Linked DNA regions of Oryctolagus cuniculus. The protein of the gene in region 1 interacts with the protein of each later gene in a pairwise test. Links are inferred from orthologs where the notes say so. Each region holds a gene or a part of one and is shown on either strand. Other genes may lie near its edges.

Region 1 (3,652 bases):
CTTTCAAATAAATAAAAATAAATCTAAAAAATAAGTGGATGGCTCAGTCAGCTAACTACATAGGCAAACAAAACCAGTCCTTAGTACCAACTTTGAAAGGGATCCCGATAACTCAATCTGACTATCCCTGACTCTGCTAACTTGAAAGATAAGCTGGAAGTATACTAAATCAGAGTTCCACAGTTTCGCTCTCCATTGATTCCACAGGTGGTAACTGAGCGCCTTCCCTCCATGCCGGGGACACGGTGCGATAAGGACACCAAAATGAAAAGCACCAGCTGCTGCGGCAAGGAGCTGACGAGTGAGTGAGACTGATTTGAGATCTGTGAAATGAGCGACCTCCAACAGAACCTGCCACGAAATCTTAACCTCAGTGGCCGTTCCGGAAACAAACAGGGCTGTGGGACACTGCAGTCCCTAAGCCAGGGCCAACGTGTCAGAGGACGCAGGGGAGTCCACACACCGCCCGACACGGCACAGCTCGCAGACATCCACGATGTGTTCTGTTGCTGATCCCTCTAGGAAATGAGCCCACAGATACAAACTGAGGGCAGGAAACAGGTTCATCCCCCAAGTATGATTCTCATATCTCCACATATCCCGTTCTCGGCACAATCATGGGAATACATTTTATAATAACTTGATTCATAAGATACTCAGAAATACCTTAGCAAAATTAACATCCCAAAGCAGTGAGAGACACTTAGAAAATAAAACCATCACGCCACACAGAGCTCTGGGCTTTAACAGCACTGCATCGTCCGTCACACAGAACGATTCTGCAAGGAGCACAGTGTATCTGGAAGAGCCGCTGACTACCAAATTCAGCTGTCAGGCTGGGAGCTTTGCTCCGAGGTCAAAGGATCTCCACGTGCGGTTGGGATTTAAGTTGACATCGCATGTTGGTATTTGTTATCAAGTTCATTACTGTAACGTGGGTCTTAATTCACGTGAGTGAAAACCTTACCTTAACCAAACCTTTGAAGCTTCTGGAAGAAAGCACAGGCTTAAACGCGTCGACTGTGATCAGGTCCAGTTTCATCACATCAGTGTAGCACAAGTACAGAACCGCAGAGAGGCTCCACACCTGACAGTAACTCAGAACTATGAATGCGGAGGAAAACCAGTAAGTCTAGCATACGTTCAAATTAGACTGCTTTGAATCATAAAGCTGGCTTTGTGAAACAGTCACCTCTCTTTCCTCTTTTAATCAAGTCACTTACTGCCATTCTGACTTCAAACACGTTATTTTCTTTCAAAACCAACTTATTTTCCTAATAATCTCGTTTCTGCAAATACTATCTTTATGTCTCATTGCCTAAACATACTGAGACAATTTTAAGTAGCTGAAAGATTAAAATTTTACTGATGCAAGGATTATATGTAAATAAGTAAATAATGCATAATGTAAAATATTTGGCCACTTTCTAGTAAAGTTCACATTAAAGGAAAAAAACTCATTTTAGTTTAATAAAATTCATTTTAAAAATAGCAAATATATATCACAATCTACTTACAGAAAATAAATGGCAATCTATTTCTGACATGATAGGAGGGTTTAGTGACAGCACATGAAAATCATAGGGGCTGGGGGCCGGCGCCGTGGCTCACTTGGTTAATACTCCGCCTGCAGCGGAGTAACATCCCATATGGGCACCGGTTCTAGTCCCGGCTGCTCCTCTTCCAGGCCAGCTCTCTGCTGTGGCCCGGGAGGGCAGTGGAGGATGGCCCAGGTGCTTGGGCTCCTGCACCCACATGGGGGACCAGCATAAGTACCTGGCACCTGGCTCCGGATCGGCACAGCACCGGCTGTAGCAGCCATTTGGGGAGTGAACCAACAGAAGGAAGACCTTTCTGTCTCTGTCTCTCACTGTCTATAACTCTACCTGTCAAATAAATAAATAAAAAGTATTTAAACAAAAACCATAGGGGCTTGTGTTGTGGCACAGCAGGCGAAGCCGCTGCCTGGGAAGCCGGTATGCCACGCAGGTACTGGTTTGTACCTTCTACCCAGCTCCACACTGATGGCCTGAGTACTTGGGCCCCTGCTAGCCCTGTGGGAGACCAGGATAAAGCTCCTGGCTCCTAGCTTTGGTCTGGCCCAGACTTTGGCATGGCAGCCACCTGGGGAGTGAGCCCGCAGATGGAAGAGCTCTCCCTGTAACTCTTTCAAAAAAAAAAAAAAAAAAAAAAAAAAAGCTCAAATAAATAAGTAAAATATTAAAGCAACTAGCAAGCTTCCATATCCAAACTTTTCTATTCTGCTAATTAAATGTGCTTAACAGACTTCATACGCCAGCACTGCACGGTTAGTGCTGGCCTGCGTGCTGAGTTACCACAGATCCAAAAGAACCAGAGCAGCCTTGAACCCTAACAGTTTCTAAGGAATCTCAGCTACTCCCAACACAGACAACATGGGAGTAACAGCAACTACTGGTACCAACCGTCATGAAGAGACCGCTTCACAAAGATCTCTAATCGTGAAAGAATGAACAAAACAGTAAGACGTCACCCAAACATTTGGGATTTTAAACTCACCTGCGGCGGGCAGGTCATGGACGATGTTTGGCTGCTCCAGCAGCGAACAGCACGTTTGGTCTCTGAAATTCTCGGTTTTCAGAGCTTTCAAGAAAGGAGAAGGTAGGCTGCAAGTAGATTCTGAGGTTTTATAGTCCGTAACGTGTCGACAGGTGAGAATGGTTACCTGCATGTTCTTCCTTGGACGAGAGCCAAACACCTGGCAGAAAATGGAGTTCAAATTAAAGCAGCATATAACTGTTACTGGATGGAAACAGTCCTGGGGTCACTCACTCAGCACCACGGCCAGGAAACAGCACCTCTGGCAGCAGTGGACGGCACACCCTTAACTGTCCCCGACCTGGGCTTGATCTTGGTTCTACTTCCAAGTCCCTTCCTCGTCTGTGAGCCTACTGAAGAGAGCTGTAACGGGGAGTAAATGACTGCGGGACTGTGTCCAGAGTCAGTGAGTCATGGGGCAGGTGCCGTGGCGCAGCGGGTTAAAGCCCTGGCCTAAAGCGCCAGCATCCCATATGGGTGCCAGTTCTAGTCCCAGCTGCTCCTCTTCCGATCCAGCTTTCTTCTATGGTCTGGGAAAGCAGTAGAGGGTGGCCCAAGTCCTTGGGGCCTTGTACCCACGTGGGAGACCCGGAAGAAGCTCCTGGCTCCTGATCAGCACAGCTCAGGCCATTGTGGCCATCTGGGGAGTGAATCAGCAGATGGAAGACCTCTCTCTGTGTCTCTACCTCTCTCTGTAACTGTGTCTTTCAAATAAATAAATCTTTAAAAAAAAAAGTCACAAATACACACCCTACGCTCATGACAGCAGAAAAGTGACTCTCATTCAATTCATTTTTTTTTCCCACGTCAGAGGCAGACAAGAGAGGGAGAACTCCCATCAGCTGGTTCGTTCCCCAGATGTCCACCATGGCCAGGGCTGGGCTGACGTCAAGCCAGGCACTGGGAACTCAAATTAGGTGACCCACACTGGTGGCAGGACCCAGGCACTGGAGCCATCGCTGCTGGGCTGCTGGCCTACTAGGGTCTGCACTGGCAGGAAGCTGGAGTTGGGAGCCAGGGCCACTGTGAAACCCAGGCGCTCCGATGTGGGACACAGACACCCTAACCAGCACCT
Region 2 (3,652 bases), on another chromosome or scaffold:
CGAGCCTTTTGGGGGTGAACCAGTAGATGGGAGATATATTCTCTCTCTCTCTCTTTCTCCCTTTCAAATAAAAATAAATAAACAAATAAATAATTTTAAGAGATATATAGAACTTTGGCAGGTTAACTGTGTCTCCAGTGTCTGTGAACCTGTGTGTCATAATATTAGCTGACATTTCCATAGTATTGACTGTAGATTGGCAAAGCACTTTGCCTCCATTACCTTTTTTTTTTTTTTTTAATTTATTTATTTTATTGGAAAGTCAAAGCTACATAGAGAGAAGGAGAGGCAGAGAGAGAGTCTTCCATCCTCTGGTTCACTCCTCAATTGGTTGCAAGGGCCGGATCTGCACCGATCCGAAGCCAGGAGCCAGGGGCTGCTTCTGGGTCTCCCATGCAGGTGCAGGGGCTCAAGGGCTTGGGGCATTTTCTACTGCTTTCCCAGGCCATAGCAGAGAGCTGGATTGAAAGTGGAGCAGCCAGGACTCGAACCGGTGCCTATATGGGATGCTGGCAGTGCAGGTGGCGGCTTTACCCACTATGCCACAGTGCTGGCTCCTCCATTACCTCTTGTAAGCCTCACAACAGCCTGTGAAGTAGGTTCTGTTCATTATTCCTGTTTTATCAATGGAAAACCCCAGAGCCCTGAGTTAAATTAATTGCCCAGTTTATCTAGTGAGTAAGAGAGCCAGAATTTTTTTATTATTACATTTTTAGTTATTAAAATAGAAGATTTTATGAATGTTGTAGATATGATTGCAAGAATACAATGATATTTTTCTCCCTACCATCAGAATTTGAATCCTGGCATTCTGTCCTTGTTTCCATTATTCTAAATGGATTGATTTATAAAATGGAAATAATTACAGATTTCTCAAGAATTGTCATCATGATTGAATCATAAAATGTTCAAATAGTGCTTGGCACATAATAACCACTCAGTAAAAGGTATCTGTCAGAAGTGGTAGTAAATTCTCTTCCCTTTGTTCCAGCCTCTTCCAGTTTTCCTTTGCTGCTTTAGATTAGTAACTGGAGAGTTACTTTCTTTCAGGCTCCTTGCTACAGTGCTTCTGAAAATAGCTATCTTCTAAGAGTAGATTTGGGGATGGATCAGAGCAGACCTCAGGGGGCCAGTGTTGTGGTGTAGCAAGTTAAGCCATGGCCTATGATGCCAGCATCCCATACAAGCACCCAACAAATTAGTTGTTCCACTTCATATCCAGTTCCCTGCTAGTGCACCTGATACAGCAATGTAAGATGGTCCTAGTGCCTAGGCCCCTGCCACTTATGTGGGAGACCTGGATGGAATTCCTGTCTCCTGGCTTCAGTCTGACCCTACCCCAGCCATTGGTGGCCATCTGGGGAATGGAAGGTCTCTCTCCCTCTCTCCTCTCTCCCCTCTCCCTCTGCCTTTCAAATTTAAAAAAATTTAATTAAAGAATAATAATAGACCTCACATGGGGCAGGAAGGATGGTTTTCATGCAGCTTGGGTGAGGTGCAGACTGGCATGTGCCCCAGGCAGTTGTTAGATGACTGCTAGTTTTGTTTCCACAGACATAAGGGTATGCATTGGGCAAGGGGGAATAAATGAGTGATCTTAGGACATGGTGTTCCCTCCTCGCCTAAAACCCGGAATGTCATCCTGGCTATAAAAACAGACATGCTAGAATCAGCGTCTTCTATCAGTGGAAGAATACTAAATTATTATTTTTATTTATTTTTGTAGCTGTTCTAAAGATATCCAGATGGCAGTTCTGCTAAAATTTGTCTCGGAAGGGGACAATATCCCAGATGCATTGGGTCTTGTTGAATATCTAAACGAATGGCTTCAAATAATCAAACCACATGTAAGTTTTCTGTAACATAAGCTTTTATTTCTCTGGTTATGTATTCATTAACTGACATTTTGTAAATAAACCAAATAAATTAAGTTTATGTTCAATATAGACATATCTTTACACAGAATTTAATTTAAGCTGAATTTTTGGAAATCAGGACAGTTAGTCAACATATTATTTACAGTTGTTTCATGAATACTAGTTTTCCAAGAAATACAATCCTAAGTTCTTCATTGTACTTATTGCTTATTTTACATTAATTATGCCAGACAGATCCTTATAAAAATAAACAAGTCTTTGGGTTTTAGGTTTCTCTTTTTAAAGGATGCAGAAGGTAATACTGTGTGAGCTATACTGTAGCTATTAGATATGTGTCATGCTTAAAGGACTTTTCTGTGTAATGAGAAGAGAATGTGACACCCAGAGAAATGAGTTAGCCTTCAGGCAGAAGTCCATCAGGCTTCTTTATCTGGTGGGTAACTGTCTTTTTAATTTGTGCTTTGCCAAGAAAAAACTGACACAGATCACACTGATTCTTTTTTTTTTTTTTTTTTTTTTTTTTTTGACAGGCAGAGTGGACAGTGAGAGAGAGAGACAGAGAGAAAGGTCTTCCTTTGCCGTTGGTTCACCCTCCAATGGCCGCCGTGGCCGGCGTGCTGCGGCCGGCGCACCGCGCTGATCCGATGGCAGGAGCCAGGAGCCAGGTGCTTTTCCTGGTCTCCCATGGGGTGCAGGGCCCAAGCACCTGGGCCATCCTCCACTGCACTCCCTGGCCACAGCAGAGAGCTGGCCTGGAAGAGGGGCAACCGGGACAGAATCCGGCGCCCCGACCGGGACTAGAACCCGGTGTGCCGGCGCCGCTAGGCAGAGGATTAGCCTAGTGAGCCGCGGCGCCGGCCCCACACTGATTCTTTTTAAAGCCCCTATTCCTCTTGAATTTGATTTTATTTAATAGACTCCATCTATAGCCTTCCTGGCGTATTTTTATGATTTAGAACTTGATGGCCAGCGCCGCAGCTCACTAGGCTAATCCTCCACCTTGCGGCGCCGGCACACTGGGTTCTAGTCCCAGCCGGGGCGCCGGATTCTGTCCCGGTTGCCCCTCTTCCAGGCCAGCTCTCTGCTGTGGCCCGGGAATGCAGTGGAGGATGGCCCAAGTCCTTGGGCCCTGACCTGCATGGGAGACCAGGAGAAGCACCTGGCTCCTGGCTTCAGATCAGCATGATGCGCCGGCCACGGCGGCCATTGGAGGGTGAACCAACGGCAAAGGAAGACCTTTCTCTTTGTCTCTCTCTCTCTCACTGTCCACTCTGCCTGTCCAAAAAAATTAAAAAAAAAGAACTTGAAGAAATTTATCCTTAGGTGATATTCAGACATAGAAACTTATTATATTTTATCTTTCCTTACAGTAAAACCTGGCTACCCCATGGGACTCCACAGGGAGAGCTTTTTAATACCTGCGTATTAAAAGGAGATTTGTTGGTGAAGCTGAAAGGCTTTTGTTTTTTCCTCTTTTTCAGGTACAGGGTGATGACCCTACAGCATCCACCTTGCCATGGAAAATCCCAAGTTCCTGGAGATTACTCTTTGGCAGTGGTCTTCCTCCTGCACTCTTTTGACCCGTGTTTTGGTTTTAGACCTTGTATCCCAGGATACTTATTACCAACACAACTGTTAAACCTTCAATGTGAAAATTTGTATTATCTGAGAATGTATTAGGAAGTAAATATTTACTTTTCACAAAAATCTCTAAAAAAAAAAAAGGATTAACTGAAAGTCTTTTGCCATGCTTTTCCTCAGATATAACAAATGTA

The links. The genes of interacting proteins can lie anywhere in the genome.
Region 2: the proteins of PSMG1 (region 1) and PSMG2 interact in binary tests that used the Homo sapiens proteins (3 or more experiments, as listed by UniProt). The link is inferred for Oryctolagus cuniculus from reciprocal best matches to the Homo sapiens genes PSMG1 and PSMG2.

What each region holds. Positions count from the first base shown.
Region 1 is NC_091435.1:5,957,179-5,960,830, reverse strand, and holds part of PSMG1 (proteasome assembly chaperone 1), read right to left. Parts: intron 2,738-3,652; coding exon 2,539-2,737; intron 1,105-2,538; coding exon 968-1,104; intron 1-967. UniProt on the Homo sapiens protein: Chaperone protein which promotes assembly of the 20S proteasome as part of a heterodimer with PSMG2.
Region 2 is NC_091441.1:69,583,274-69,586,925, forward strand, and holds part of PSMG2 (proteasome assembly chaperone 2), read left to right. Parts: intron 1-1,726; coding exon 1,727-1,847; intron 1,848-3,358; coding exon 3,359-3,457; 3' UTR 3,458-3,652. UniProt on the Homo sapiens protein: Chaperone protein which promotes assembly of the 20S proteasome as part of a heterodimer with PSMG1.